Diceros bicornis minor: one gene and its partners. The protein of the gene in region 4 interacts with the protein of the main gene of each other region in a biochemical or structural test. Links are inferred from orthologs where the notes say so. Each region holds a gene or a part of one and is shown on either strand. Other genes may lie near its edges. The genes, in order: PTPN6, TEC, GRB7 and KIT.

Evidence for each region.
Region 1: the proteins of KIT (region 4) and PTPN6 form a complex in vitro, tested with the Homo sapiens proteins (2 studies listed by BioGRID). The link is inferred for Diceros bicornis minor from reciprocal best matches to the Homo sapiens genes KIT and PTPN6.
Region 2: the proteins of KIT (region 4) and TEC form a complex in vitro, tested with the Homo sapiens proteins (2 studies listed by BioGRID and IntAct, with this or other methods). The link is inferred for Diceros bicornis minor from reciprocal best matches to the Homo sapiens genes KIT and TEC.
Region 3: the proteins of KIT (region 4) and GRB7 form a complex in vitro, tested with the Homo sapiens proteins (3 studies listed by BioGRID and IntAct, with this or other methods). The link is inferred for Diceros bicornis minor from reciprocal best matches to the Homo sapiens genes KIT and GRB7.

The regions. Positions count from the first base shown.
Region 1 is NC_080756.1:54,821,895-54,830,054, forward strand, and holds the start of PTPN6 (tyrosine-protein phosphatase non-receptor type 6), read right to left. Parts: upstream 3,344-8,160; 5' UTR 3,113-3,343; coding exon 3,099-3,112; intron 1-3,098. Other genes in the region: C17H12orf57 (protein C10), read right to left, coding at 3,869-4,020, 4,783-4,959, 5,264-5,315; ATN1 (atrophin-1), read right to left, coding at 7,031-7,064, 7,274-7,454, 7,799-7,942. UniProt on the Homo sapiens protein: Tyrosine phosphatase enzyme that plays important roles in controlling immune signaling pathways and fundamental physiological processes such as hematopoiesis.
Region 2 is NC_080747.1:39,661,990-39,670,099, forward strand, and holds the start of TEC (tyrosine-protein kinase Tec), read right to left. Parts: upstream 3,084-8,110; 5' UTR 3,015-3,083; intron 2,938-3,014; exon of another isoform or gene 2,836-2,937; intron 1-2,835.
Region 3 is NC_080757.1:39,388,702-39,396,272, forward strand, and holds the start of GRB7 (growth factor receptor-bound protein 7), read left to right. Parts: upstream 1-4,354; 5' UTR 4,355-4,663; intron 4,664-4,693; exon of another isoform or gene 4,694-4,924; intron 4,925-7,571. Other genes in the region: MIEN1 (migration and invasion enhancer 1), read right to left, coding at 192-289, 391-479. UniProt on the Homo sapiens protein: Adapter protein that interacts with the cytoplasmic domain of numerous receptor kinases and modulates down-stream signaling. Promotes activation of down-stream protein kinases, including STAT3, AKT1, MAPK1 and/or MAPK3. Promotes activation of HRAS.
Region 4 is NC_080747.1:42,550,279-42,558,104, reverse strand, and holds the start of KIT (mast/stem cell growth factor receptor Kit), read right to left. Parts: upstream 3,201-7,826; 5' UTR 3,126-3,200; coding exon 3,059-3,125; intron 1-3,058. UniProt on the Homo sapiens protein: Tyrosine-protein kinase that acts as a cell-surface receptor for the cytokine KITLG/SCF and plays an essential role in the regulation of cell survival and proliferation, hematopoiesis, stem cell maintenance, gametogenesis, mast cell development, migration and function, and in melanogenesis.

The DNA of each region.
Region 1 (8,160 bases), on a different chromosome or scaffold from region 4:
GGTGCTGGGACTGCTCTAAATCTTGATCTGGGTGGTGTATACACGGGTGTGTATAAGTGTGACATTCATCAGGCTGTATTCTTAATATTCATGCACCTTATGTATGCTATACCTCAATTAAAAATAAGGAAAAAATAACAAAATGTTAAAGCCCAATGAAAGTGTATTTTTCCTATGATGACTACTTTATCATCTTTTGAAACATCAAACGTCAATTTTCCCCCCTAAAAAGAGCTCCTCCTCCCTTCCGGTGCCCTGGGGAACTTGCTTGGCCTGTTTATTGCATGGTCTAACACTGACTACCCCTGCAGTCTTGGACGGCCACCCTGAAGGACCATGAACACCCTCACAGCGAGGGGCAGGAAGAGCCCTTTGCTCTAGTTGCTGCTAGTCTTGCTCGCCTCCGAATGTTCAAAGCTGAGCACGCTTCTCACGGAGTACATGTCTGATAAACAAGCTCATCAATACCCGTTCACATATGTGGTCACAAGTCCAGCCTCCTGGTCCTACACTTGCACACGCTGCTTGTCACATATAGATGAGTACACATACACGCACATACAAGCCTCCATTTAGGCACATGGTCCCACCACATGCACCTCATCATCCATGCCCATCTACACACATACCTGGTCCGGTGCAAACACCCACACACGTTCACACCACCCTGACCACACACGAAACTGCAGGTCCGTGCTCGGCACTAAACATCTGCTGCACCCTGGCCACAGGCCTCTCTCCTTCCGGGGTTTAAACTGACTTGGCAGGAAGAAACTAACCAGGCACCCAGAAACTCCTGACCCATGGAAGAGGCAGGAATTTCTCTGAAGCCAAGTAGTCAAGCTGGAAGACAGACAAACACTAGGATAAGATATACAGTCTCTGCTGTCCCTTGACAGAAAAATGAATCGTAACCACCTCCCCTCCACCTCCCCTTGACATAAGTGCTCTGGAGTTTGCAGAGGACTTGCAAACACACAACCCCATTGGGCCTCAGACATCCCTGTGAAGTAGGAATTATTGTTTAACGGAGGAAAACAGGCTCAAGGAGGCTGAGAATTACAAAAGCAAGCAACCAATCATTCGGAAGAGAAAATTCACCTGGGAAGCAGGGAGATAAAGGTCGAGATAGAGATCAATGGTGATACAGAAAGATAGGTGGTCTGGAAGAGCAAACAAAGTGAAATAATTTCTAGAAAATTATGAACTTCCCGGAGCCTCGTATCCCCACCTGATAAACGGACTTAAGAGTATTTCCCAAATACTGATGTAAAAAGCTAATGTTTAGTAGTAGGGTTTAAGTGCCAACAGCTTTTACTTTACATTTTTTTTTTTAAAGATTTTATTTATTTATTTATTTTCCCCCCAAAGCCCCAGTAGATAGTTGTATGTCATAGTTGCACAGCCTTCCAGCTGCTGTATGTGGGACGCGGCCCCAGCATGGCCGGAGAAGCGGTGCGTCTGTGCGCGCCCGGGATCCGAACCCAGGCCGCCAGCAGCGGAGCGCGCGCACTTAACCGCTAAGCCACGGGGCCGGCCCTACTTTACATTATTAATCCACATGCCAACCCTATTCGGTAGGTCTTAGCCTAATTTTAGAAACAAAAACTAAGGCTCAGAGAAGTTAAGCAACTTGCACAAGGTCACAAGTGAGTGGGAAGGTGGACAAATCAAGGCTGTCTGATGCCAGGGCCTATTGCCGTCTCCACCACACCAACCGCGCCGCTGGAGGCTGCAGTGCGGGGGGATGGGGCAGAGGGCACCGGCACAGCCCACGATGGAAGCGGAGGGGCTGGTGTTCCCACAGAGGCAGCCTCTGCAAAGGCCCCGAGCGGGCAGGCACAGGGCCACCTGAGCCATGCTGGGGTGTGAGCAGAGTGGCATGGCTGGAGCAAAGCTGCTCAGAGAGGCTGGCACCTGCTGCAAAGGGTCTTACAAGGCCAGGCTGAGGAACCAAGGAAGGACTCTGCACCGGGAGAAGCCTTGCCAGCTACCTGGTAGGAAAACAGCCGTGGCAGGAGTGTGGGAAGGATGAGGGACCAGAAGACTCAATGAGAGCCCTGTCAGGGGGCTGAGGGTGACGAGGTGTGCACTGGGGGCAGCAGTGCAAACCGGAAGGGCAGACGTGTGAGAAGAACCAGCAGGACTTGGGGAGACCAACCCACAAACACCAACACCCCAAGCTGGTCTTCACTGTAAGATGCAAACTCCAGCAAGGCCTAACTGCCTGTCCCTGTTCCCTCTCCGCTGGTTTACTCTGCGGCAGGCGCTGTTCTTGTCTCTTTTGTTCCCACTGCAGGGCCTTTGCACTCGCCACTCCCTCCGCCCAGGGGCACGTGACTATCACCACATGGCTGACTCTTCCTCATCATCCAGGTCTCAGCTCCCGCATCACCTTCTCAGGAAAGCCCTCCCTGACCGCTCCAGCTAGTGATGCCAGCGGCACACTGTCACTCACTAGCACATGAAACTGTTTCATTTTCTGCATAACACTTCTGAGAAATGATCCTATTAATTGGGTTCCTTGTGTAGTCTGTCACCTCGCACTGGAACGAAGCTCCGTGAAAGCAGGGACCATGTCCACCTTGTTTGCTACAGTATTGTCAGCACCTTAAAAAGTACCTGGCCTGTAACAGATGCTCGGCATGTATGTGTTGAATGAATGATGCAGGGGAGGGGAAGTGACAGGAAACCGAGAGAAAGAGGAGCGGAGGCCAGATGGGAAGTCATGTGGGAACAGGGAGCTTTCTCAGGTTTGCATTTCAGACACCCTGTTTCAGGTGACGTGGGCTACCCAGGGGCACAGGTCCTAAGCAGACGACAGAAGCAAGGGAGAAATGCAATGGTGAGAATAAATACACATCTGTCAGGGGAAAGTCCTAGAGAAAAGGAGCGGTGGGGCAGAGAGGCATGAATCAGCCTGGGATTCCTCACATCTTGGGGGGAAGCAGTATGTAGAGACAGGAAGCAGACCCAGGGCAGGAGGCAGCAGCAGATTGCACTCATAGTCTCACACCTGTTAAAAGTGAGCATGAGCCCCGCCTCTCCCTCCCAAAGTAACAGGAGACTGTGGTACCCAGGTGGAGCGGGGGACTTACCCACGGGACAGCATCTCCCCAGAGAGATGGGGAAGTCGCAATCAGAGGGCCACAAGGGGCGGGGCTGAGCCAGGGGCACAGCTGTGCACAGTGGCCCAAACCAGGTGAGGAAGAACGCTCGGAACTCGGCCACTTCCTCCTCGAAGCTGACCGCTAGGCCAATAGCACTGCAGGGACAAGCCCCAGGACTAATGATCCCCGGAAAAGGGACAGGTGGGGCGGGACTGGCCTCACACAGCCTACAGCAGCCTGCTTCTCCCTCCAGCCCTGCTCGGTAGTCCAGGGCCCGCCTGCCTGTCCAGGGCCTCCCTCCCTTGGGATGGGAGGAGCCACCTGGAGCTCCACCTGGCGCTCAAGCTGACAGAGGGAGGGCGGGTGGAAGCAAAGACCAGGAAGTAACCCTGGCCAAGGGAACACAAACCAATGGGGGAGTCTCTCCATGCACAGAAGCCAAAAGGCCTCAGGAAAAGCCAGGAAACCCCACTCCTCAGAGGAGGTGCCACCTGTGCAGACCCACTCACCCAGCATTTTGAGGGACCTGCATCCTCCCACCCTGTCTTGGAGGAGGGTTGGGCCCCACAGGAGCATAGGAAGGATCTGGACAGGGAAATGGAGCAGCCTGGAATGGCAGAGGGAATCTGGGGCCAGGAGGTGGGGGTTGTCAGGGTCACAAAAGACTGACACGGAGGCTAAGTCACAGGCAGGTTTATTATCCTCTGGAACACCAACATCTTCCCTTCCCAGGCAGTGTCACACGGGAGAGCCAACCCTCAGGAGGCGGCCACGCTGCCACCTGCAGCAGGCCCGTGGGGTGGCAGTGTCATAGGGGGCAGGAACAGTGCCTTCAGCTTGCCTGACAGGCTGGCAATCTCAGGATCCTGGGCTTCATACGACTTGACCAAGCGGGCAAACTTGAGGACACCTGCAAGGGGGAGTGGAGCGTCAGCCCACACCCCAAAGGGACGGGTGTGCCCAAGATGGCAGGGGGGAGCAGCTGGAGCATGAGTCACTGGCTGCGCCTCCTCTGGCCAGGTAGCTGTCTGCAAAACACAAGACACATGCAGGTCCCTACCCTGTGTGGTTCGGATCAACCACTTCCTGGTCTACACCAGGCACAACTGGATAGGATGCAATTAACGAAGATATCCCAAGCAGTGCGCTTCTCACTATCAGGTGAACCATTTTAGCAATTTAGTCACAAGAACCACAAGTATGAACACCCATGAGATCCCAAGTCTATATAACCAGGACACATGAGGGCCCTGGGCCAGCTGGGCTGAGTCAAACAACATCCTTGGGGAACACCATGATCTCAACGGAATTGAACTGCTGACCCTCAAACAGAGATTAGCTGAAACACCTTGGATGGGCTGCAGAAGCCCACTGACACGCAGACATATCACTAAAAGCTCTCAGAAGGGGTTCAGGTCCAGCTCTGCTGTGACCTCGGGCACTTAGTTTACTGCTAGAGTCTGTTTCCTCATCCTAACATGGGATAACCATATCACCACTTACGGTAACGACAAAACGCACCTGGGGCATCGCCTGGCACAAGTTCGGAGTAGACCCTGGGCTCTGAGTGCTAATAGTCAGATGGTGACTGCCGCCGTGTGGCGAGAAGGACGACGACGGCTCAGGGACCCGACGGATACAGCGCCCTCTCCCCGACCTCCGTGCGACCCACCTTCCCCGTCGCAGCTGAAACCATAGGCTTTGATAACCTCCTGCTGAATCTGCGTGGCCACGGGCAGCACGAATTGCAGCATCTTGCCCATGTCGTTGCACGCGTTGTCCCGAGCCTCGTCCATGCGCACGGCGTTCTCTGGGGCCGAGAACGCCTGGATTACCTCGGCCAGGACCACTGTGCCGCAGATGCATCCCAGGGAGGCGTCCGGGATAGGCGTCGGAGCATGGCCGGCGGGCCCAGCCAAGAGCGCAGGGAAGAGGGCAAGGAATTAATTAGTGGACTGAAGCCATAGTAACCCGACAAATTCGACTCCCGAATCCCTCGCTCTAGTAGACAAGAACCACCTCTTGGAAGAGTAAGGACGGTACCCCTCGCCCCCGTTCTCCGGCGATGCAACCACAGCTCTCGCTCCGTATCCTCCGCCTGCACCCTCCTTGCGCAGGCAGCCCGCCCACCCTGTGACGAGCATGCTTCTCACCCTTGGCCTGTTCGGCGCTCAGGGCCGCGGGCTGGGCCGAGGCGGACGCCATACGGCAACAAAAACCGCACGTGCGGCGGAACCAACTTAACGCTCAAAGAAAAAGAGGGTTCTCTTGCAGCGGCTCTCGGGGATGCGGGCGGAGGGGAAGCGCATCAGCGTAGCCGGAAGCCTCTCCGCGTAGCGCTGGTCTCCCTGCTGGGACTTCCTGGCAACGGCAAAACCACTAAATGCGAATTTCTAATACTCCAGTACTAGCGACAAGTAGACACCACCCCATTTCAACTAACTCTATTGTTCAAAACGAGCGGTGACGGGGTTTTCCAGTAACAACCAGAAAACCTACTAGACAAATTCTAAAAGAGCTGTAACACTAAAAAGAAAGGCCTGGAGAGAAGGCGGCACAGCCAGGAACTCCACTATCGGTGAGGGTGAGCTCAGAACGGGGTTCTTCTAATTCCTACTGTATAAGCAACGAGGCACAGTGTAACTTTCAGAAGGAAAAGCAGTATTCTAAGGAACTTACTCATATCATTGATTTCTGGAGTTTGTGAACGTTTGTTAAGGCTCTATGCAAATGAGACCGATGCTGATTGGCTGAGAAAGAAGCCAGTCACACCCCTTTAGTTTTTAAGAACGGAGACAGTGACTCGCAGCAGTAAAAGCTTGGAGCTAGAGTACCTCTCGCGCTTTCCTAAAATGGCCTTGTGATGCCATGTTCGCTGCAGCGGTACGCCCTCTAATTTCTTTTCTAAGCTTGAAGTTGTCACTCGCTCCTTCCTCAAACCATAGGATTCCAATCGCTTTAACCCACCGAAACTACGGCCCCTGCCCCTCCGCCTCATAACCGTTTCTCTAGCCATTCCACGGAAAGGATTCAGGACTCTGGTGGCTCCTAGCCGTGGGACCAGTTGCAAAAACGTTCTCAGACCCGACCACGTCCGAAGCGTGCCTGTCCCAGGCCTCCAGCATCTCCATTTCCCAGCCTTGGCAGGAAGGAGGGGATTGGCACCGGGAGGACCCCCACTAGGAAGCCAGGGCTCCAGGGCCCCGGGCTCTTCTGAGATCCCGTCTCCAACTCTCCAGGGTCCCTACACTCAGTGCCTTCAGAAGGTCCGTCCCTTCCCACTTCCCTGCCAGCCTCTCCGGTTCCACAGCTTCCTCTCCAGGGACCCCTGCGCAGAGACCCCAGCCCCCATCCCAAGCCCACCACCATAGCCCGCAAAGAACCAGTCACAGCCATCTTCCTGGGGAGTCGTGAGGATGTTTTTGTTTGGTTGTTTTTGGTTGGGATGTTTTTTAAAGAGCGTCATATAGATATTTATATATATAAATTATTAATGTGGGGGAGGGGCAAGGGACATACATCGCAGAGGGGGCGCGCACACACAGGGACTGAGGAGGGGCAGGGGCGGCACACGATGCTACGCAAAACAGCCACATCTAACAGATGAAATAATCACACCAACGGGGTGGGGGAGGGGTGGTGGCCACTGGGGGTTGGGCATGGGGGAGGAAGAAAGCAGGGGGACAAGGGAGAAGGACCTGGTCCAAGATACTGTGCGCTTTCTGCCCCCACCCCCACTACCTCCCCACCGCCACACACCACAGGAGCCTTGGACTTCCATCTGTCCCTTCCTCCCTCCCTCTGCTCAGCTGCGAGGCCCTTCAACTGAGCAGCACCCCTCCTCGGCTCTGGGTGGCAGGCCTGGAAGGAGGCCTCCAAGGTCCAGATGCAGGGGCCATGGGTGCTCTTGATCGCAGGTTCTACAGCGGCTTGTCGCTTTCCTTCTTCAGGTGACTAGGGGAGAGGGGGTACAGAGCAGAGAGAGGAGAGACTGAGGTCGACCCTGACCTGGCCCCTCTCACAGAGGGGGATGGTGGAAGAGAAGGGCCAGGTCTCCCTCCCCCAGGAGCCTAGTGCCCAGCTGGACCATGCCCACACCCTGCCAGCTGCCAGGCCAGCTGAGCTTGCATCCCCTCACTCCCTGCCAAGGGGTGTCGTAGTACCTGTAGTAGTCCTCCTGGGCAGGTAGGGGCACGCTGTGCAGCGGGTGATGGGCATGTAGCCACTGCTGCTGCTCTAGCGCCAAGCGCTGCAGCTCAGCTGACTGCGCGTGCATGGCCTGCAGCTGGTGAGCTGCTGACATCGGGGCAGAGAGGGAGGCTGGCAGGTCCCGGTAAGGAGTAGCTGTGGGCAGAAAGAGCAGGAGGCACATGACTGATGGGGTACAGATACTTACTCTGGGCCAGGGGAGAGCCAGCCACTTTACATACAGAGGAAACTGAGACTAAAAAGGTTAGGAAACAGCCAGTCCTGCAAGTTGCCAGTGGGGGAGTTAGAATTCAAACCTCTTAGCCTGGCACTAAAACCTATGCCTCTCTTGGGCAGGGCCTCAGCCCTCCTACTTCCATCCTGGTTCCTCTGGGCACCTCCTCATCCCTCCCCAAGCCCAACTAGGCCAATCTCACCCAAATTCCTCCTTTCTGCCCTTCTTTCACTAGACCCTCCCCACCTCCAACCTCCATCCTTACCAAAGAGCTGGTGACGAAGAACTTCATTCTCGTGCAGAGGGTGAGGAAGAAGGGGGTTGGGGAGGGTCCCGGCTGGGTAGGGGATCCGGGTAAGGTGAGACCCTGAGGCCAGGGGGTCAATGAGAGGGTGCACCGAGGCAGACGCTGGAGGGCAGAGAGGAGGAAGGTGTCACCAGAAGGCAGAATTGGGGGAAAAGCATGCATTTGGGTGAAGGGAGCCAAGCCTGGGAAGAGAGATGGACAATCAAAAACAGGGAGATCCAGAATGGAAGAAGGAGGCACAATGGAAGAACTGGGGGCCTGGGGGATGGACAGGACAAGACCCTACTGGAGTAGGACACATGGATGGCAGAGGACAAATT
Region 2 (8,110 bases), about 2.9 Mb from region 4:
CTGTGCCCTATGGGTAGAGAGGGCAACCAGGCCAGGTTAGAACAAGCCAAGAGGCTCAGGGGCAGCTTCTTCGGGAAAATGAAATTGATAGACTACCTGATGCATCTGAGCGAAGATTTAGAAAACTGGCCAAGAGCTTTGGGTTAAATTAATGACGAGTACCTAAAAAACTAACCAAATGAACAAACAAAGCAATTATTAACTCCAATGAAAACAAAAAGTTGTACTTGGCTTAGCTATGAATATTGATCTAACCAAAATTACTGTTTAACTATTGCAAGGATGGGAAAATAAGGAAGCTGTGGTTGGGTTGGGGCTTAGAGGAAAAAAGAGAGCCAAGTCATCATCTTCCACAATGGGAAGTCAACAGATAACGCCTCAAACTGAAAAACTCAAGAAGTATCAACTATAAGCAATAAGGTCAAAATGACCAGCTCAAAGAATTACAGTGGTTGTTTCTGGAGAGGGAAAAATGTAACTTGGATAAAAGTTTAAAACTAAAAAACAGAACAAAACAAAACAAAATTGGCTTCAATGCCCACACATTTTTCCATTATTTGCTTTTTCTTTGTTCCCGTAATAACAATTTGTTTGGAAAAATTCCATCCTTGTTTCCCCTAAACAAAAGATAATGTAATTTTCACTTCTAGACCACAGTAGCTGTAGTCATCCGAGCTCTGAGCAGTCAAACATGGTGGAAAAGTTAACAGTTATAATCCAGGCCAGGAAAGGACTGGTTGAGCTAGGGCAGAGCAAGCCCAGGTGGAGGCGAGCTGGGAGGTGGAGGCAACTACTAAGCCCCTCTCCTCTGGGGAGCTTTTTGACAAAGCTATTCTCATGGCATAATCACAGGGTACGGGGTAATTTTACAACTGCCAGTGACCATGGGCCAATTTCACTCCTTTCTAACAGATTTACACGCCCAATTTAGGACCCTAATCCAATCAAGGCAGCTGGCCCCCAAAGTGGTTATTCTGGGTTCAACCACAGTCACTCCACTTTCCCTGTGCAGCCTGGATAAGAGAGCACAGTAAGGGCTCTGAAACAAGTGACACTGTCACCAACAGATATTTGATGATACTGAGTATCCAGTGCTGAGATACTGAGCATCCATAGGGCACCCAGCACCAGGCTGAGGGTCCACACCCCTGTCAACTATGCAGACCAAGTATCCCTGCCCTAAACAATAATTCTCCCCAGGGGTGGGAATCCAGAGAGAGGTGGAGTGGGATGGAAGCTAAGGAGCTGGAAAAGCTGGGGCGCGGACAGGAGGCACCAACCTGGTTAACCTGGAGGAACTTGCAGGCAGAGGTGCGCTTGGAGGCCCAAGGCCCAGGCTCCCAAAACTCTGGATACCCAGAGGAAGGCAGGGAGACCAACAATTCTTCCCCAAGCATAAAAGTGGCCAGACACTGCCCACAACCCCCGCAACCACCCTGTCAAGGGTCAACTTCAGGCAGCAAAGGTCGCCATTCTCTGAGCTTTACCATGATTTGATAAAACACAGCCCTTGCCCTAAAGGTCTAACTAGCTGCTGAGAAAACACGACAACTGTTTTGATCTTGATACAGAATAAGTACATAAACAGGTTGAAACTGCTAGAGCATACATTAATATTCTATATTCTATATTAATATTCTATATTCTATATTCTTTCCTACTTGGGGAGATGTGAAAATTTTAGTTCAAGGACCTATGTGGGGCAAAGGTATCGCACAGCACTGATTTGCATGATTTACAACACTTGCCCTATACAGTTCCCAGGGCCAAAATGTACACATCCTTGTGGGAAGAATCAAGATCATTAACATAAACACGCTGCAGTAAGCATCATGAGCTGGCAAGAGTAGTAATATACTGATCAGAGTAACTGGGACATGGGGAAAGTATAGATCTTTCTCAAACACTGAAAATGTAACTAAGCTAAAAAATACTTTCAAATATATAATGAGAAAATTACACACTCTTCTCCATATATGGAGACATTCTATAACGTGATTTTTGCCAACTAAGGAGCTACCAGCATCACAAACTAACCTGTTAAATCCTAAACTTATTTGGGAAATCTATTGGTTTGTTGGGGTTGTTTTTTTCTCCCCAGCTCTTTAGAGGAGAATCATCCAGAAGAAAGTAAATGCTCAGAATTTCCTAAGAGGAAAATGGGCACTCACTGGAAAAATACAGGGTATATGCTCAAAACGCTTAACTATTTTGGATAACCTTCAAACCCACTTAGCCACCAGCCATCCTGTTGTTCCAAGTTAACATTGAGATCAACCCTTCTAATCAAATATTCCAGTCTCCAAAGAATGGCAATAGATGATCCTGTTTCCGAACCTGGTGCAGAGCCACGTGTTATTCTTCCATTAAAAATAAAAATCAAACCAAAGGAAATGTAGGATCCGAGGAAAAGTGCACACTCCCGGGTCAAGGCCCCAATTTTTGCAATACAGGGATTCATCGAACCCCTGTTTTCAAGATTCAAACACAATTTCCCAAATAAAAAAATTTGAGCTTGGTGGGGTGAGGCACTCGGACACGCGCAACTGTGGAATGTCGCCGTCGATTCTCACAACTTGCAATCAAGACTGCGCTGCTGCCCAAGCAAAGAGGAGGAATCAACCTTGACGCGCAGCTGGGAAGTGAACCCAACGCTGAACTTGCCGCGGGGCGGCCTCGGCCCAGGGACCCAAGGGGAAAAGGGGCAGGTGCTCCTCGGGAGAGGCCAGTCCCGGAGCCGGGAGGCGGAGAGGCAGCGGCCGCCCGGAAAGCGCGGCTACGCCGGGGCGCGCACCTGTCCCTTCTTCCGGGACCAAAGGGGACGGGATGCCTCACCTGGCGCGGCGCTCTGTGCTCGCGGTGGTGCGGAGGGGTGAAAATCCTTCCTCGTTCCACGAGGGTCAGTTTCTAGGCTTGTGGAATCCACCTCTGGCCGCACGCATCCCAGTCCCGACCCTTCCCGCCCGGGGTCCCGCAGTCTCGAGGCCGCCCCTGCCGGCCCGCGGCGTCCTTACCTGGCTGGAGCGCGCCGGCTACGCCAAGCCCTGGAGAGTGAGGTCCCGCCGGCGCCGCGGAGTCCGGAGCCTGGCGCCCTCCGGCCCCGCCCCCGATCGCCCCGCCCGCCCCCGCCCCGGCCCGCCCCGGCCCCCGATCGCTCCGCCCCCCATCGCTAAGGCCCGCAGCGACAGGTTTCCACCGCCCTGCCCGCGGATTTGAACCTGGAGGCCAAGTGAATCGGAGGCGCGTCCAGGTTCCCGCGACGCAGCGGGAGTTTCAGAGAAGTCGCAGGAGCGTCCCTTGTGTTCCAGGACGCGGCGCTGGTCCTCCCTAGGGCCGGCCCACCTACGCCGGGGGAACCGCCCCTCGACGGCTGGACGCCGCCGGCCCGGGAGAACCCCGAGTGCCTCCTGTGGGTGACCGGGGACTTTGTCGGAATTAGGGACCGAGCCTTCTCTTCCGCTGAGTGGTGGCAGGCCAGGCGGCTGATGCGGTGCAGTGGAGCGAAGCAACGAGTTTTACCAAAAGAATAAGTCTGTTTACTGTCAAACCTGAGGCAGCGGAGCATATCTGATACACTTAGATGGTCACGTGTCCTCACTCTTAATGTAGTAACACTGCACTCACTCACTGAAGAGTAAAAAACTGCTCTTGCGTAAGACTATGTGCTAGGCACTGTTGTAGGTACTGGACACGCATTAACCTTTCTATGAAGTGTATGTTATCACAATCCCCCATTTTACTTGTGGTGAAAGTGAGGCATAGAGAAGTCGCATAACCTTCCAAATGTCGCCTAACTAGTAAATTGAAAAGCTCGGGTTCAAATCCGGGTAGTCCTCCTCCAGAATCTGGGCTCTAAACCACTGCTATCCTGACTCACAAAATTTGAGTGTCCACCATGTCCCATGAACTGTTGCAGGCCTGGTGAATACAAGACAAGGACTCTACCCTCAAGGAGCTTTTAGTCTAGTGTGGAGAGAAGGACAATAAGTAATCAATAAGGAAGTAAAAATGAAGCCGTGCATATGTGAGAAGTGTCTTGACTGAAATAAAGCAGGGTGATGGAATTGAGAGTGATGGGGAGGGGGAGGCCACTTTGGATCTGGTGGTTGTGGAGGCTTCTCTGAGGAGGTGACAGCGGAGCAGAGAGATGAAGATAGGACAGGTAGTCAACCTGAAGATAAAGCTAAGGGAATGGCAAATGCATTAATAATTATCATGCTTCTTGCTTTTTTAGGACTTAAAAATATGCCTTCCTGTATTGTCTCTCCCTTGATCATACAATAACACTGAGAAGTCAGACAAGATTCCAATTTACAGGAAAAAAATAATCTGAGGACGGTATTGGTTTAATGACTTGCCTAAAGTTATACAATTAACTAGGAAAAGGGGGCAGGGTGGGGATGGGAAGAATGCACGGATTTGAATCAAGGCCTTCTGATTCCAAATCCTCTTTTGCTCTGGTCGGGCGGTGAGTATAGTGACCTGTCCTCAGAATGAATTTAGCACAATTTCTCTTTTGTGATCTACTGTCTCCTCCTAGCCCCTCTCTTCTGCCTCTTATCCGGTTCAGATACTTGTGTTGACTAGTTAGCATAATTTCCCCCAGGGCAGGTGTTCTTTGAGGGAGTAGAGGTCAGGAAACTTCTGAAATTGTATGCAAAAAATTGTGTGTGTGTGTATGAAGGAGAGAAAGAGAGAGTTACAGTTATATATTTACGGTAAAAAAAAGTTGGTTTTCTCCCAAGAAAAATGCTCACATACATATACGCATAAGTGAGAGGACTTGGAACCTTCATCAGATGGACTGATCCCAGAAAGGTAAGAGCCACCGTCTTAAGGGGTTAACTGATAATGTGGTAATTAAAAGAAATGATTTCCAACTCACTTTGTCTGTGCTAGCTGGGTGACTCTGGTGGCTCTTATTTCTGACTCAATGGAAAGGAGGCTCTCAAAGTTTATGACGTTTGATTGAAAGGGCAGCAAACCCATACCCTCATATAACCCCTTCCTAAAGTTTAAAATTAAAAGAGATGAAAATGTCTATATTGTCCTCTTAGTTCTCAAGAAAACCAGAGAACTGATCTGTAAACAAAACATCTACATCAATATAACTCTTTATCGGTGATAACGGGGGTAGTTTCCATAACCGTATATTACTTCCTGAAGAAAATGAAATTCATTACATTATCAAATAGTTTAAGTAGGTGATATACCTATATCATTCCAAAGCAAGTGGCAGAGAATACTGGTAATTGTTTTCAGGAGAGTGTTGATAAAAAGAGAGACAGAAAGAGGTGAGACTATTAGAGGACTTCAACTACATCAATAAAAAGGTGTCAAACTGAACTCAGGATGTGGTAGGCTAAAAAAAAAGTTAAATCTTATTATTTCTGATGGGAAAAGTTCAACAGCTTTAATAGAAAACAGAATACAAAGTTTAGGCCTATATGACTCAAAACTTTTACATGGAGCCCTCATCAAAAGAAGGAATCTGTTGGTGGACTTAAAAGGATTTCTCCCTTTGCCTCCAAGGAGAAGATTCAAACAATATTATTACTGCCTTCTTTATTTTAATAAAATTGAGATACAGAATAAAAGGCATTTATGTATTCTTCTTCTTGGAGACAGGGACCCCCTTCTTACAAGATAGCCCTATGGCTTCTATAAAATTTGTGTGTTTAGATGAGCAATATCAGGTTGACATAATTTTAGTTCCTTGAGAGAAGAAAATGCCTCTTTTTAACTCGCATATAGATTGCACATTGTGCATAAGAACACACAGGATCAACCTGGAAGATTTGTAAATAAAGTAGTGTTTGTATTTGGAGCTTCTCATGCTCTGGGGAACCTAGCCCATCACAGGTGAATAATACGTGTTGAATGAATGAATGATGACAACAATGATGATGATAATGCAGACCTTGTCAGTCTTGTACCAAGAGTCTGTTCATCCATGAAGATGACATCATTGTGGTGGTGTCATATCTGCCTCTCTTTCCATCATGTACTGAAAGTAGTTACTTCTTTGGAACTACACAGAAGGAAGGAAAGAGTTTTAATTGTTGGACACAAAATTAAAAATTATACTCCTGGGAACAGTTGCTAAATAAATAATTCAAAAGAAAGAAAAAGCATTATATGCAAAGTACTTTTATAAGACCATCACTTAGAATAATAAAATAATTAAATGTCCAATAATAGAGAAATGTTTAAGCAAGATATATCACTAGCATGGAATGTCAGGCTGTTATTAAAAATTCTATCTATGTTAATAAAAAGAAATGTGGAGGAAAACTTATGAACATTAAATGAAAAAACAGAACACATGCTTTATGCATCCTATGATTACAACTAAATAAAAATTATGTGGGAAAAATTGTTGGGTTGAAAATAAGAATTATGATGGACAGTTATTGAGGGGGTTTCTATGTGCCAGGCTCTGTTTTTCGGTGCAATAGATTAATTCGTCTAAGTCTCACAATAACTGCACAAAGTAGGTAGAGTTGTTATCTTCATTTTACAGATGAAGAAACTGAGGCAGAGAAGGTCTACGTAATTTGCCCAAAGTCACACAGTGAGTGGCAGAGCCAGAATGTGAACATACAGCAGTACAAGTCCAGAGTTTACACTCTTGACAGTGCAACATTGCCAGAAATTTCCTTGTATAATGTTTTTATGTTGATTTGATAGTAAGCAAAAACTTTTTAAATTACGGAGTCAGAGAAGATGTCACAGAGGTAAAACCAGATTATACTCAGAAGAAGAAACAGGTAAAGATGAGAAAGATATTGAGGGGAACCATCTGGGTTTGGTCAATTTGTGTTTTGGATTAGGATCTGAAGAGTGTTTCAGATGGATCCAGAATATCAACGACTTGATAGTTTATGAAGATTCAAATAAAATGAGCTATATTACAATAAAATGTTGTATGCGATATTATTAGTATGACTAAAAAGTCATACTGGCCTGATGGCTTGCACTTGCTGTTTCTTCTGCCTGGAATGCTCTGTACCCAGATCTTTTTGAAGCTGCCTCCTTCTCAGTGGTGGCAGTCGTGAAAATGAGACCATCACTGCATTAGCAGGAAGCTGAGAAAACATTGGTGAATGATCACAACAAAACTCCCTGCTACAGTGGCACTTACATTCTGGTGGAAAGGTCAGTCATTTAAAATTCGATTTAGCTACAAGTAAGGAACATCCCCTTGAGGTATGCTGAATAAAGACCCATCAAAGATGTCTACATCTTAAATCCCCAGAACTCATGAATGTTACCTTACATGGCAACAGGGACTTGGAAGATGTGATTAAGTGAAGGATCTTGAGATGGGGAGGTTATCCTGGACTATGCAGGTGAGCCCAATGTAATCACAAGGGTCTTATAAGAGGGAGGCAGGAGGATTGGAATCAGAGTTCATCCTCATCAGATGTGATAAGAGAAGCAGAGAACATACAAACAGCAAGACAGAGATTTGAAGACGCTACACTGCTGGCTTTGAAGATGAAGGAAGAGACAGCAAGCCAAGGAATGCAGGCAGCTTCTAGAAGTTGGCAAAGGCAAGGAAACAGGTTCTCCCCTAGAGCCTCTACTAGGAGCCAGCCCTTCCAACCCCTGGGTCTTAGCCCAGTGAAACTGATTTTGGACTTCTGACCTCCAGAAATGTAAGAGAACACATTTGTGTTGTTATAAGCTGGTAAGTTTGTGGTAATATGTTACTGCTGCCATAGGAAAGTAATAGAGCTCTTAATAGGAGTTTATTTTTCTCTTATGTGTAAGAAGTCAGTGTCAGGCTGGCATGATGTTCCATGGTGTGAGGGCCCCAGCTCCGTCTGTCTTTCATGTAGGTGAGAGAACCTGGAAGGAAATATGAATATCTCCAGGGACTCATGATATGGCATCAGGCCATGTAGTCACCCATGTCAGTGTTTCTCAAACTTGAGTAAAGAATAAAGCCCTTTTAAACAAAACATTTTCACCATAATTCACTTCAGTATATATAAATACAAAACTAGTTATGCATTATTTATGTTTATGGCATTTCCTACGTATTTAAAACCAAAATAAATTTGCAAAATAAATTCAAGCAAGACTACATAACCAATGATTGAGG
Region 3 (7,571 bases), on a different chromosome or scaffold from region 4:
GTAGTCTCACCGGTTTTTCTCTACAGGCTTCATCTGTGACCCCCTCACCTATGGAAGGGGACTCAAGTTGGCTGGATATTTTACTATGTGCCAGACACTGCTGGACACTATATAACAGCCAATGCCAGAGCTAGAAAGTGGTAGAGCTGTGATTTAGAACACTGACTCAGCAGGTGTTCTGCGGGCCTCACCTGTGCCCCCCAGGCGCGACTCGATCTCGATGCCAGGATACTGCTCCTTCACGGCACTCGCCAGCTCCAGGTAGGTCGCCTCGAAGCCGCAGGGTTCACTACGGAGACGATACCTGGGGTCCGCTTGGGTTTCGGGAGAGGGGCCTCTGGGGACCCACTCCCGTCCGGTCCGGACCCCCCACCGGCCAAAGCCGCTCACCAGTACTCCACCATGATGCGGACCCCACTGCCCGGTTCGATCTCCCCGGGAGGGGGCGCTACCGACGGCGGCCCCGGCTCCCCACTCATTGCGGCCCGCTCGGCTCCAGCCGCTGCTTCCGGGTGTGCGCTACGCCGCGGACACGTGACGGGGCGGGGGCCGCGCGTTACGTTCGGGCGCCCCCTGCAGGCCGCGGTTGCTGCTACGTTTTGCCTCTATCCCAGCTCGAGGGCTCCGAGCGGGTCGGACCGGTCCAGACCTCCTTCCCGGGCGTGGCTTCTCAGAGAGCGGGGCTTGTCCAGCAGCTGGTGTCTGCCGGGCTTCACGGCCTATTTAATCTAATGAAATATCTTAGACTGCAAGGCGCATGCCGGTTTACAAAAGGAAGACAAAGTGGTGGGGCAAGAGGACCCAGGGCCTGGGGTTTGGTATGGAATAGTTGCCATTTGTCGCTAACATGTTGATGGTATTTTAAACCACCCCATAGTCACACACCCAAATACTCTGACTCTTAAAACTCTAAACTGTAGGCACAGTCTGGGGCAGAGACCGCCACCCCCCTGCATTCGGAAGCTTTAGGCTTTGGGGTCTCCTGCTCCTGAGGCTCTGTGCTCCCATCACGTGCACCCAGTTTCTGCAACTCCCGTCTCTCCCAGCCTCCCTACAGGGCGGGCATCGTTATTACCATTTTGTAACTCTAGAAATGGAGGCTGTCTCGCTGCCTCTTCCTTCCCACTGTAGTATACTAACAGGTCACTCACTTTAAACCGTTAATTTTTAAACAATTCAGTGATGTATCAAGTTGTGCGACCATCACTACAATCCAGTTACAGAACGTCTCTATTAACCTAAAAAGGTCCCTCCTGCGTGTTTGCAGTCAATCCAGCCCCCAGCTCCAGCCCTAGACAACCACTGATCTGCTTTCTGTTTATAAATTTGCTTTTTCTGGACATTTCATATAAATGGAATGATACAAAATGTGGTCTTTTGCTTCTGGCTTCTTCAGTATAAAGTTTTTGAGGTCCAGCCATGCTGTAGCATGTACCAGTAGTTCCTTTTTGTTGGTGAGTAGTATCCCATTGTATGGCTATACCACCTTTTGTTTATCTATTAATACCAGTTGATGGACATTTGAAGTTTCCAGTTTTTCCCTATTTTGAATAACGCTGCTATGAACGTTCATGTAAGTGTCTTTGTATGTATGTGTGTTCTCATTTCTCTTGGGTAGATTCCTGGGAGTAGAATTGCTGGGTTTTATGGTAAGATTATGTTTAACTTTTTAAGAAACTGCCAAACTGTTTTACAAAGTGGCTGTACCATTTTCCATTCCTGCCGGCAATATACGAGGATTTGTTTCCCCCTTACCTTGTCAACACTTGTTGTCTGTCTCTTTGATTATAGCCATCCTGGTGGGTGTGAGGTAGTACCTCTTGTGGTTTTAATTTGCATTTCTCTAATGACCAGTGATGTTAAGTACCTTTTCATGTGCTTATTAGCCACTCGTATATCTTATTTAAAACATCTATTCAAATCTTTTGCCTATTTTTAATTGGGTTGTCTCTTTATTATTGATTCATAAGAGTTCTTTGTTTATTCGGGATACAAAGTCCCTAATCAGATACAGGATTTGCAAATATTTTCTCCCAGTCTTTGACACTTTTTTTTTTTAATTTTCTTAATGTGTCTTATAAAGTGCAAAAATTTTCAGTTTTGATGAAGTCTGATTTACCAACTTTTTCTTTTGTTGCTTGTGCTTTTGCTGTTGTATCTGAGATCTCTGCCTAACCCAAGGTCACGAAGATTTTCTCCTATGGTTTCTTCTAGAAGTTTTATAGTTTTAGCTCTTACATTTAAGTCTACGATCTACTCTGAGTTAATTTTTGTACATTATGTGAGGTAAGGATATAAATTCATCTTTCGGCTTGTGGATATTCAATTGTCCCCAGAACCATTTATTGAAAAGACTATCCTTTCCCCTATTGAATTGTCTTGGCATCTTTGTCAAAAATCAATTGACCAGAAACTTAAAGGTTTATATTTGGACTCTTGATTTTGTTCCATTGATCTATAAATCTATTCTTTGTTGTTCTTTTTTAATTTAAAAAATTCATATACAATTTATACACAGTAAAATTCACCCTCTTGAGTGTACTTCTTTGTGAGTCCTGACACGCTCATTTGTACATCCACCACCATGACCAAAATACACAACAGGTCCATTACCTCTTCACAAGTCCCTGTGCCCTTCTATTGTCAACCCTTCGCCCTCCTCCCCAACCCCAGATCTGCTTTCTGTCCTTATGGTTCTGCCCCTTCCAGAAAGCCATACAAATGGAATTCTACAGCCCTCAGCCCTCTGAGTCTGGCTTCCCTCTCCAACCTATCCTTTGACATCCAGAGTGATCTTTCCAAAATAGAAATCTGCCTCCTCCCCCATGCCTCTACATAAGCCCAGATAGACCTTGCAGGTCTGGCCTCTGCCCATAGGCCCTGCCAGTCTGGACAGACAGGATGGATGGCTCTTAAACCTGGTTTACAGAACAACCACCTGAGGGCTTGTCAATACCACACATTCCTGGGTCTTGGCCCCAGAGACTGAGATTCAGTAGATGGAGAAGGGCCCAGGGATCTGTTTTTCATATAAGCCGAGGGAGATTTGGAGGCAGGTGGTCACAGGCCACAATTTGAGAAAAACATCTGAGTCCAAAACACTTGTCTTTCCCCATACCTTCCATACCTGCTCGGGCTTACTTGTGTGGCCTCCTCTCCTTCCTTCTCCTCCGCCCCCACTCTGCCTCTGCATGCTGTGTCCCCTCCTGCCTCCTGCCAAGGGCTTTAGCACTTGTTTCCTCATGATGAAAGGTGCCCTCCCTTCCCCATCCACCAATTCCAACCTCCTCCCTGTCCCAGACAGCTTCCCCTCTGCTCCATCATCACTTCCACAGAGAAGTCTTCCGTAAATCCCTGGGTGAGTCATTCTCCCAGAATAGTTGTCACCTGTCATTTATTAATTGTGTGTTCTTTGATTAACATCAGTCTCCCCGACTGGGCTGCGTGAGAATAAGGGCAGAGTCTGTTTTTGTTGCTCACCACTGTCTTCCCAGTACCAAGCATGGGGTTGGCATATAGTAGGTACTTCACAAATATTAGTTGAATGAATGAAGGAATGAATGATTGAGTGAATTGTCTACTGTGCTTTGCACAAGCTGCTCCATGGCCCAGGTGACCTTGCCCCCTCCCCGACTTCTTTGCTTGGTTCACTTAACCTGGTTTTTCAAGGGAAACCCAGTTTGGAGAAAGTTGAGGCTGGAGCCACTCCTTAATGGTCCCCCAGGGCAGACCTCTTATCACCCTGTGGATGTTTGTTTACCCAACTGTCACCCACTTCAGGCTGCTGCCTTTGATCTCAGCCTCCCAGGTCCCCTCCCGGCCCTCTCGTGTTTGCTTAGTGCTGAAGGAGAGAGCTAACGTGATCGCTCTAAGGGAGTCCCTTGGCACCTGGCCAGAGCTTTCCCCAGATCACTCCTCCCACCAAGAGACCCTGCCTAAACCCTTCTATTTCAGAAGAAGAAGCTGAGACCCTGGACTTTGTTCAGAAGGGAGGATATACCCTGGGTACCTCTGAGGGGCTAGGGTACAGCCTGGCTGGCTAGACTGTGGCAGGAGGTCAAGGGGCAGGCCATGTTGATGGACGACCCTCTGGCTGGCTTCCCTCGTTCGCAGAGTGCTCTTTTCCCCAGGAGGTGAGACCCAGAGCAGCAGACAGGCCCCCTAGCTTGGCCAGTGAACTGACCAGGTTTGAGGAGGGGCATGCGGAAGAGTGGGCGGGGCGTTTCCCCTACCTTCCAGCCCCCAGCCCCTCCCTCCCAGGTCGTGAGGACTCTAGATCTTCGCTCTCGAGGCTGTTCAGTTCGACTGTTTTCCCCGCTTCTCCCTTGGCACCTGCTGCCGGGCTAAGAAGGGCGAAAACAATTCCAGCCAGCGTAGTCAGCGAGTCCCCGCCCCTGCTCCTGTGCTTCCTCCTCCCAGGCCCCTCCCCCGGCCCCGCCCCCACCTGCCCAAGATAATTTTAGTTTCCTTGGGCCAGGAGCCCGGACACACAGGACTGACCCTCCCCCCACTCCCACTTCAACGTCCAAAGTCGGGACACCTTCCTACTACCTGTAGAGAAGAGGGAGTGGATTTGAAATCAAGTCGATTTCGAATCTGGGGTCCCTAGACAGAGCCGGACTTCGGACGCTGTGTCCTGCTACTCCTGCTGCGGCTCCTCCAGGTAAGGGGACCGAGATCGGTCCCAGACGACAACCTGCTCCCACCCCCAGCCGCACCAGGGCCCCAGCTGTGCCCGTCTCTGGGCCAGGAGCTGGCTGGCTGCCCAGGTGTGCGGACAGGGGCCCGCCTGGCTCCCCTCCCTTCCCCCCTCAGTGATGTCAGGCCAAGGGCGGGGGCAGGAGGGGGACAGGTAGTTAAGGGCCTGGCGTCTCCCTCCCTAAACCAGTGGCCCCAGCCAGGTGTACCAACGCCCGGGGTCCAGGTAAGGACCAAAGCGATCACTTCATCTTGGGGGTGGGGAGCTCCGGAAGGTCCCGGGTCAATATGGAAAGATTCGGCCTCCTGCTGTGTTACTCTGACGGCCTCACTTTCTTTTCCTCCAGTCTCCCATCCCGCCCTTTCCCTCCTCACCATCTGCCCTCAGTCTTTCCCAAATTCTCATTTCCTGTACTCCTTATTCCTTCCTTCCCTCTCTGTACCCGCCTCCTCAGCCCCCCGGAGAAACCAGCTGATGGAGATGGGAAAGTAAGATCTCAGATTTTCTCTCCAGGAGACGCGCTTTGCCGCTGAAACTAGCCCCTCCCCACATTCCCAGAAAGAGAGCTAGGAGAGGGTCCGAATATCGAGGGAGCTGCCCCGGGTCACTCCTTTGCTTAATTTGATTTTACCCCAGTTTGAGTTTCCCAAAGTCTTTACTAAACACCGACGTCTCCGCGGGGGGAGGGGGGCATCCTCCAGTTTGGAGGGCAGTAAAGGTGAGGGATTCTCTAAATTGCTAGAGCTCCGTCTCTCCGGGAACACAGGGTCCTGTCCTTAGATGGGGGGCTGGGGCGGGATAGGCCCGGGGATCCCTCCCGGCTTCAGAATGAAGTGGGCTCGGAAGGCTGGAGGGGCCGATGCCGGGGGGGGGGGGGGGGGGGGGGGGGGGGGGGGTTTGCAGCGCAGTGGGGCCTAGGGAGAGTCTGTGGTGTTGGGGGGCAGATGGTCTTGTCTGTTTGAATAGTCTGGGGAAAGACCCGAGTGGGGGTCTCCCTGGCACGTTGGGGATGGAGAATGCACCTGTCCGCCATTGGAAGGCCTCCCAACCCCACTGTCCCTTAAAGAATGCCCCCTCTTGGTCGCCTATCCTGGACTCTGCTCTCCCTTCTCCCCCTGATATCCTGCTGGGGGGGCCCTCCATGAAGGCAAGCAGCCTGTAATGATTAACTCCACAGACAGTCTAGCATTCTTCCCAAATTAAACTTTAAAAGAGCTGCCCCCGCACCCCCTTGGGTGTTTTTTCCTGATCGAGAGAGTGGGCGGGGCCCCAGGGTCCTGGGCCCTGCTCCCAACTCTGGGTGACCCAGGGGTTTCCCCACCTCCTCACCTGGGCCCTGCACCCTGAGAGCTCCCCCAAAGGTTAAGCCTTCCCCACTACAATAAATCCCGATGGGGGTGGGACGTGGAGTACTGGGCCAGACTGGGGGCCTTTCCGCCACCTCCAGGTTCCCAGCCCAGGCCTCTGCCCTACCAGCCCCTCCCCCCACCCTGGAAGCACCCAAGGTGGCCTTGTTTTCTATCGGCTCTAAACACTGGGCCCTGCCACCCGCCCTTGGGGCCAGCCAGGTGGGGCAAGATTCAGGAAGTAAACAAGGAGGCAGGAGGCTGGGAGGGCGGGAAGGAGGGTGGGGCCGGAGCCACCGGGGCAGGAGAGGCGGTTAGGGAAGCCACAGTTTGGAGCTGCAGTGTGGAGGGGACAGATTGATTTCGGGGGTCAGTTTCAACAGAAGCTTCAGATCTCTTGGGAGGGGGCCTGCCCAGGCCCCACAGCTAGGACCCCGTTCTCCTCCCATCTCATCTCTTTTGTCCTGACTGCCCCACTCCTCTTTGCCTAGAAGGGTCTGGAGGGCAGCGTGGAGGGATGTAAAGCCAAAACCCAAGTCTTAAATCGGCCCTTCTGCCCTCTGACCCCAGACTCTAATCGGATTTAAATCTACTCCCCTCTCCCCTTCCAAACACTGTGCGATTCCTGCCCGATTCCTGCCCCCACTCCTCTGTTGGTCTCTGACTTCGTGGTGGGGGTGGCCCCTGCCATCCCTCCCCCTAGTCCTCCCCGGAATGAAGTCACCAGGGCTGTTTGCCAGAGGTTAGACAGAAGGTGGGAGTCTGGGCATTGTGTTTTGGTGTTGCTGTACTGATGTTTGTTGATGTTCGATAGTGGGTGTGTCTTGCCCTTTGCACCACAGGACTCTGAGCCCCCTCCCTCGTTCTCCCTCCAGGCCTTTCCCTGTCTGCCTGTGTCAGTCCTCTTGGGTGTTTTGACTTTCCCCTCCTGCTGCTGTGGCACCCCTCTGGCCAGGACACCCAAGAAAGTGTGTTAACAGGACCCTCATCCCCCAGAGGTGTTGCAGACGAGTCCCCTGGGCCTTCTGAGTCCTCCCCTGGGCCTTCTGAGTCCTGGGTGCTAGGGGTGGGCAGCAGCAGCAGAATGAAAGCCTGGTAGGGCCCAGACAGGAGAGGCAGTGCTGTGCGTTTCCTTGGGTGAGCCAGGGGCACCACTGGGAGGTCGGCTCCACTCCAGATGGGCTTCTGAATCCGGGCCGGGCCTTTCTTCTCCCCTTCCTGTGTGAGGGGGCTCCTGGGCTGGGTGGTGGCTACAGGACTGGGGGCAGATTGCAGGTCCCACCTGGACTGGTGCAGTTGCAGTCGGAGGTAGGCCAAGGGTGGGGAAGAGGAGGTGATGTCAGAGGAGCCTCAGGCCCCGCATCCTCCTCCTTCTCCCCTATCCTGTTCCCTGCCCTGTGCCTCCCCTATTCCTCCCAGGCTGGTAGGATGGGGGCAGGAGTGGAGGGGGTGGGTAGAGGCAGGGTTGTTTGTGTTTCTCCTAAGCCAGGAAGTTGTTCGGATGAGTCAAGGTTGAATGGAGAGCC
Region 4 (7,826 bases):
ACCATTTTTATTTTTTGGAGTGGGGGATGGAAAAAATTTTCAGCTGGCTTACACCATCATTTTAGGGACAGTTTATCTTCATTTCTGAGAGACTCTACCTGGAATGGGAGAGCTCACACCTAAAGCCCTTATACCCAAGGCTATAATTTAATGACTTCCCTCAAACTGAGAACACTCGAACTCAGACATCATAAGACAGGCAATTCTAGGTCTTTTTCACCAAAATTGGGAAAGTAATGACTTGGCCATCTTGTGTTCCCAGAACCTCCAACAATGCCTGGCGTTTAACAGGTCCTCATTAAATAGTTTCGAATGGGTAAGTCATGTGAATGGATATACAGCTGGGCACACGCGGCCAATCTCAGGTTTCACCACTGATGACTCTGGGAACTGACTTCTCCTCAGCCAGTTTCCCCAGCTGTAAAATGGTAGGGATGGCAACAGTTCTACCTCCGGTGCTTGTTGAGAGGACTGGAAATGCCAGGTGAAGGCTCCAGCACAGGCCCTGGCACACAGTTTCCAAATAAAAAGCAATAACTACGTACAACACACATGTAACGTGAAATTTAAGACACATCAGAAAACGTGCTGTAAATGCACAGCATACACGATTTATAAGGTCCTAAGGAAAAACGTGTGGATGAGCAGGAAAGACCAGAATGGGGATAAATGAATTATCTGGAATCCCTTTATAAGACTATCATATTACTTCCAGCAGGATATTAAGCCAGAATATCCTGTGTCCAGCTGCTGGGTATGACTCTAGGCTCACATCTGCAGGAACATGGGGAAGGTATGATTCACTATTCCTTGCAGGTTCATCCTGCCGGGCACAGGAGTTGTAAATACTGGGGGGAGGGGGGGGGTAGGTGATGAGGGTCCTGTAGAGTTGCAAGTTGGCACCTCCTAGCCCTCAAAGGGAAATAGCAGGCCAGCATGTGTGGATTGAAGAGAGGGCAGCATAAGCACATCTCCCTGCCTTAACCAGGGGGAGACCAGTAGGATACCACCAAGTGGTCCCTGTGACAGAGGCGGCAGAGAGATTTCAAGGAGGCAGGAAGGAATCAGGAAAAAACTCAGAAAAAGTGTAGAGTCTACACTCAGAACACTGGAAGAGGAGAATTTTTGGATCCAAAGGACCCTTCATGATGCAGATGCCTCACTGCCCCCTTCAGGAAACTGGGCTCTCCAGAATTTAAGCGACCTGCCCAAGGGCATAGAGAAACCAGAACGGCAGCACAAGGCTTTGTCACTACACCACAGTGCCCCCCAGAAGCCAGACCTTAAAATTCCCTTTGCCAAAAGCCTACTGGATGGAGCAAGCTACTGATGCGGAAGAAGGAAGCAAATGATTCATTTAATTTTTAAAAAGGGAAATATTCTGCGTGGTCTGTCTTTCTAGTGCCTTACTCCCTTCCGGTCTACATACCTTAACTGAAATTAAAAATGCCAAGATGTAAAGACCAAACGTTTCATTGGAAGCTTAGGCGGTCAAATCCACCACGAAATCCGGACACTCACTCACGATCCCTCCTACCTCACACGAGTCCAGATGCAAGGGCCCCCTTCTCCGACAGGTAAGCCCTGACAATGCCTTCCAAGACCGGGAAGGCGGACCCTGCATCTTGCGACTTTATGGGAAAACTGACCATAGAGCCCCACAATAGTTCATAGCGATGCTTCCTCTGGAGCCCTTGAATTCCAGTTCAGACTCACTTTCTGTCCTCACATCATGAGGGTAGCCTTAAAGCTTTTTAAAAAATGACCTGAGAGCGAGCAGGGCTCCAGGGGTTAGCTGGGCGACCTGCGCTCGCTCGCGCACCAGCGACACCCAGAGAAAAGGGAAGAAGGGGCAGGAATCTGACTGAGGAGCCTGTAAATCCTTCTCCTCCGCCTTAAGACCCAAGTTCCCGCGCAGATATAACCGGATTTTCACAACAGCTTTAAGATCCAAGTAAGATTTGCAAAGTTCCACTCCGTCTCCCACCCTTCACCTCCCGCAGCCCTTATATATAGATATCACGTGGAGTGAGTATTGCGAATCTCAAAATTCCCAAAGAAAACAGGGACCTGCGATTACAGGTTGCAGACACCGATTCCGGGGGCTTGCAGAGCCCCGCTAGCCTGACCAGGCGTGGGAGGCGGCCGGGGTCGGGGACCACGGCGTCCCAGCGCACTGTCCCTGCCTTCCCCGAGAGCAAGCGGCAACGCAGCCACCAGCCGCTTCCAGGCGCGTGGCAGGGAAGCAAGCGGCAGAGAGTGGCGAGCCTCTGGCACCGGACTTATTAAAGCTAAAAGTCTGCAACCTAGCGGCTGCTTTCCACACGCTCTGCCCAAGCTGCCTCTGTAGCCGCCCCCTCCAGGTTAGCGGGGTCGGGCCCCAGAGCCGCACGCGGCGCGCTCCCGGTGCAAAAGCATGACCAGGGGTTCGGGGGGACGCCGCAGCCTTCGACTCGCGTCCACGAGTGGCGCCGCGAGCAGAGGCGGCAGTGGGTCAGTCCTCAGCTCCCAGGCACAAAGAGCGCTCGCGGTTTGGAAAGCAGCAGCCGCAGAGCAAAGAAAAGCCTCTCCAACTTTGACCTCGGCGCGGCTGAGAAGCTGCGGGCCGGTCCCCCGGTGCGCCGGTCACACACGCGCAACTTTTAACAAAAGGAAGCAGCGGCCGCGCCTCGCACGGCGGAGATAACGCGCTGGGTGCGACCCGCCGACCCGTCCGCCTGTGCCCTCACGCACTCTCGGCACAAAAGCAACCCCAAACTCGCACGCAGCTCGCTGCCCTCAGCCTGCACCTCGCTCACGCCTAAACCCCCTCGCTGCCCTCATTTCTGGAAGACCCCAGCTCAGCGTCCCCACCACCAGCGGCTGGGGTCTCCTCGCGCAGGTGAGCGAGGCAGGGCGCAGGAAAGTCCGGGGACGCCTCCCATCCTCCCAGAGGCTGAAATGCACGGGCACTGGAGGGCCAGCAGCCCCCTCTCCAGACACACCCCAACGTGTTCGAGCCCTCGGGGGCACAGGCTGCGCCAGGGGCGCGGCCCCGGTGCCCGCGGCGCTCTCCCACCTGTCTGGACGCGGAACAGGAGAAGCAGGACGCAGAGAAAATCCCAGGCGCCGCGAGCGCCTCTCATCGCGGTGGCTGCGCTGGGATCGGAGCTCCGTTCCACGTTCCTGCTCTTGCCCAAGTGCACCAAGCGCGGCAAAGCCGAGCCCCCAAGAGCCGCGAGCTGCGAGCAGCTGCCCCTCCTCCCAGCGCCCTCCCCCTGCGCGCCGGCCACGCCCCTTCTCGGCGCCCCTCCTCGCCTCCCCTCCCCTCCCTGCCTCACGGCTGATTCTCGCTCCCTGCCGGCGGCGTCTGGCCCCTGCTTTTTCGACGTACTCATCCCGGGGGTCTGAGCCCGCGGGGAGCGGGAGGGCGCGCCGACCCTCTTCGCCGCTTCCCGACCCCGGAGCCCCTTCGTCTCTTCACTCCTGTGATGTGGTCTGGGCGCCGGAGGCGGTTCCCGGACGGGGGTGGTGCTGCCCGCGCGCTTTGTGAAGCTGGGCACCACGCGCAGATTAGGGCACGGGCCCGCCACCTGGCAGGTGCTCCCCAGACAATAAAGGTTCGCCGCCTGCCCCTCGAGCACGCTCCTGAGGGAGGAGGCTGGACGCCGCTAGTGGTGGAGGTGGACAGGAATTGGGGGCAGAGGGAGAAGAATGTCTTCTCCATTTCTTTTAGTCGGGGTGGGGGCGACCAAGCGTGGTGCCTGGCACCGCGGTAAAAGGCTAAGCCGCGGCGTAATTCTTTCTGGTCAGTTTCTCCACCTGCTTCTCAACCGGTAAGATCACAGTTGGTTTCTATTGGTCGGCGTGGCCTCCGCCCTACAAGCCCCTGCCGAGGCTTTTCTGGAGACTGGGGCCTCGGAGTGGGGAGGGGCGCCTTGCGAAGTTTGCTCTGGGAGCCCGAGTTTTTACACCCATTTGCGCCGAGATCGTTGTGCTAAACCCTCTGGGCACCTTCTCTTTTTGTCCCCCATACGGTTTCTCTGGCCCTCTATGCGAAGACAGTTACAGGGGTGGGGATCCGAGCCGTTCCTCTTCTGCTGCCCTAGCCTGTACCAGGAGCAAAATAATAGTGAAAGGATTCTCCTAAGCCAGGTTCCACTGCCTGGGAAGGTCCCAACAGTATCTGTATAGGGTTTTATAGTTCCTCCTTACACTGAATATTATTTCATGCTCACAATAACAGCTTTGCGAGGTAGGTAGAGCAGATATGTTTATTATTCTAGTTCTAGAAGTGGCCCAAGATCACACAGCTAATAGAGAGGAGACCCAGTCATTTTGGTGGCTCCGGGTATGATGAGCTTTCCTTATGCATCCTAATAAACCAGTAAAACACCCCTCCAGAGAGCTTAACAATGGAAAATAAATGGGAAATGCTCATCAGAAAAAGCGATGGAATAATTTAGATACACCTAGACTCTTCTCTAAAATAACATTCAAAATTTATAATTAACCAGCAGCACCCCACACACACTTTAACATTGAAAGTTCTCCTGTTTGATGTTGATAGGACCTAAGTTGGTTTAAGAAAAATGATTTTTAAAGCTAATCACTTAAAAATTATTGCTACTAGATCAATGGGTATGATTGCCTCTCTTTAAGATTATTTATTCATTCAACAAGCATTAAAGTGTCTACTGTGAACAAGGAGTACCATTGTTAACAGACAGATGTGGGCACTGCCACAATCCTTATAGTCAAGTGTGGGAACCCACACCCCAATGTCCTAGCAAATGGTTCAAGTCATACAGCTGTGGGAGAAGTGAAATGCAAAAGTCTCTGTACTCTGCGCCCTCAGACCACAGCTTTTTCTGAGGATGACAGAGATAAAAGCTCCACTCAAAGCAATCATAAGTTTCTGGGATCTTGATTTATTTCTAAAATCCATTTCGTAGTGAGAAAAAAATGACTATGAGTTAAAATATCAACATTATACCCGAGAGAGAAAATTCACAATTTTCTTCTTCAATCGACTGATATTGGAGAGGATAACAAGTCTTCAGAAGGGTGGATGAAAAGAGACCATATTGCAATTTAATTCTAGGCAGGAAACTTCTATCAAAGGGGAAAAAAAAAAACCTAGAGTAGGGAATTATACAATGCGTGACTGTTGTTCATGTTCACCATTCAACAAATACCTGTTGAGCACCTAGGTAGACACAAGACCTACAAAAATCAATAAGACAAGGTCCCTGTCTAGGAGGATTCACAGTCCAGGGGAGAAAACAGATGCCCAAATAAGAAACTATAATATCTACTAACGGGGCTCATGTTCTGCCAGTACACACCAAGTTGGTTGGTAGAATATTGAAATCTTTCTGTACTTATTGGAAAAAAGCCACTCCTCCAAAACACCTAAGTGCCCCCTCACTCCAACCCCTCCCTTGAGATACCCCAACTCTCCTCAGATCCAGCAATTAAAGGTTTAATGCCGGGCACAGCAGAGAGCCTCCAGTCCCTGTGCCTTTAGGGTGATTAGCTATTTTTAATAATACCCTCTGCCAGCCAGGTACTAAAAGGAGGCATCTAGAAGGTGCTCTGAGTGAACTGCTATGGGAATGAACTATATTTTAGATCATGTCCAATACAAACGTTTACAATGATGGAAATATTTGATATCTCAGGTAGGATGTACAGGACCAGTTCTGTACTCTATTTTGTGATAGCCCTGGACCCTTTCATGAATTATATTGTATATAATTTATTGTTTTCATAATTGTCCAGAGATGATAGCATTCTACACTTTCCTAGATCCAAGAACTCAAAAACGTGAGGACTTGAAGGTAGTGTGTGTGTGTGTACACACACATGCATTTTTCTGCATCTCCATCCTTCAGCAATACTTTCCTGTATTGATTCCCTGTCCTCATGTGCACTCAAGCAGCTCTAGGCTTACAGCTCATTAGTACCAATGTAAGCAGAGCTTTTCTGCCCTCATGAACATCTCCTTTAAAAGTATTAACTTGGCTTAAGTCACATGCCCACTTGGAACCAGTCACAAAGCCAGACAGATGGAATATGATGATTGGCCAGGTCTGGCTCACATGCCCACCCCTGGAGCCAGGGTTGAGTATCCACTTCATCCACATCCCAAGGCCTAAGAATGAGAAGGGATATGTCCCCAAAGAAAACCTGAGGTACTTTCACTAGAAGAAGCCGAAATGATGCTGCACAAATAGAACAGATGTTCAGTATTATGTACACCTGAAATTTATATAATGTTATAAACCAATGTTACTGCAATAAAAAATTAAATTAAATTTTAAAAGATGTTCTACTATTGTCTCACATAGCCCAAATCTCTAACTTGAAAAATTTTTTAATTTCTGATTGTAAAAGTAAAGATGCTTTCTGTGGAAACTTTAGAAAATACCAAAAATTATAAAGAACAAAACAAAAATCACCCAAGATATAATTACTGAAGCGTTCATTTTGGTGTGTTTCTTTCAAATCTTTTTTCTCTGCTTATGCTAAGGATTTTTTTTTCTTTGTATAATTTAAGATTTTACAATACTTGCTAGTTTTCTATCCAGCTTTTTCACTAATCATAACACAAGCATTGTCCCAGATCATTAAAAATTCTTTGGGGGGCTGGCCCCGTGGCATAGCCGTTAAGTTCGGCGTGCTCCACTTCAGCGGTCTGGGTTCGCAGGTTTGGATTTCGAGAATGGACCTACACCACACATCAAGCCATGCTGTGGCGGTGACCCACATACAAAATAGAGGGAGAACAGGCACAGATGTTAGCTCAGGGCTAATCTTCCTCACCCAAAAAAAAAAAAATTTCTGTGGAAACATAATACATAACAGCAGTATAATGTTCACTTGTATGTATGTACCATAATTCTAAATATGTAATCATTTCTCTATTTTTTTCCAGTTTTTTCCTATCATAAATTACTTGATTATGAACATCTTGGTGAATAAAACTTCCCTGCCTCTGATTATTTGTATAGGATAAATTTCTGGGGGTGGAATTACTACACCAAGGGTATAATCTTTTTCAAGTTTGTTACTTGATAGTCCTTATTTTTCCAGTAACCATTTGAAAGGTTTTGTGCATAAAGTGGGAGAAATGGATATGTGATCCTCATTGGTGGACTCTATACCAACAATAACCACCTCACCATTGGTGAGGATGGGAGAAGGTAGTGTATGCTCTTAGTTCAAGCTTTCACCCAGTGTTTATTGAACACCTTCTATATGCCAGATGAGCTACATTAGGTGCTGGGAAGGAAAAGTCAGACAAGACACAGATGCCGCCCCCATGAGATTTGCAGAAAAAGAAGAGAGACACGTAAGGGGATCAAAGATTAAATTGTTATATGTACCCTGACAGAGCTATGTGCAGGATGACATGTGAACCCTAAATCATGTTATACGGCGATCTCACGAGGCTCCCCCAAAGAGGTAGCAATTAGATTCTGAGGGATCAGGAGGAGAAGGCAAAGCAGGAAGAGGAGAACGTTCAAGCGGTAGGAAGCACACGCGCCAAGGGCAGGAGGCATGAAACAGCATGAGGACTGTGAAGAACCACAGTAGTGCAGCACAGTTAGGGAAACGGGACTGCCGGGGAGGGGAGAGTAGAGACCACAGAGATAAACAGGAACCGTTCTTGCCAAGAAGCGTGAACTTCATCCTCTGTGCTATGAAGAGTCACTAAAGGCCTTTAGGCTGGAGCCAGATGTGATGAGATTTACATTTTGGAAAGATAGGGAGGAAGCTGGTGAAGGATGAGTTGAAAGGGGCCCAAACTTGAGGCTGGAAGAGCCTGATGCAGCGATCCA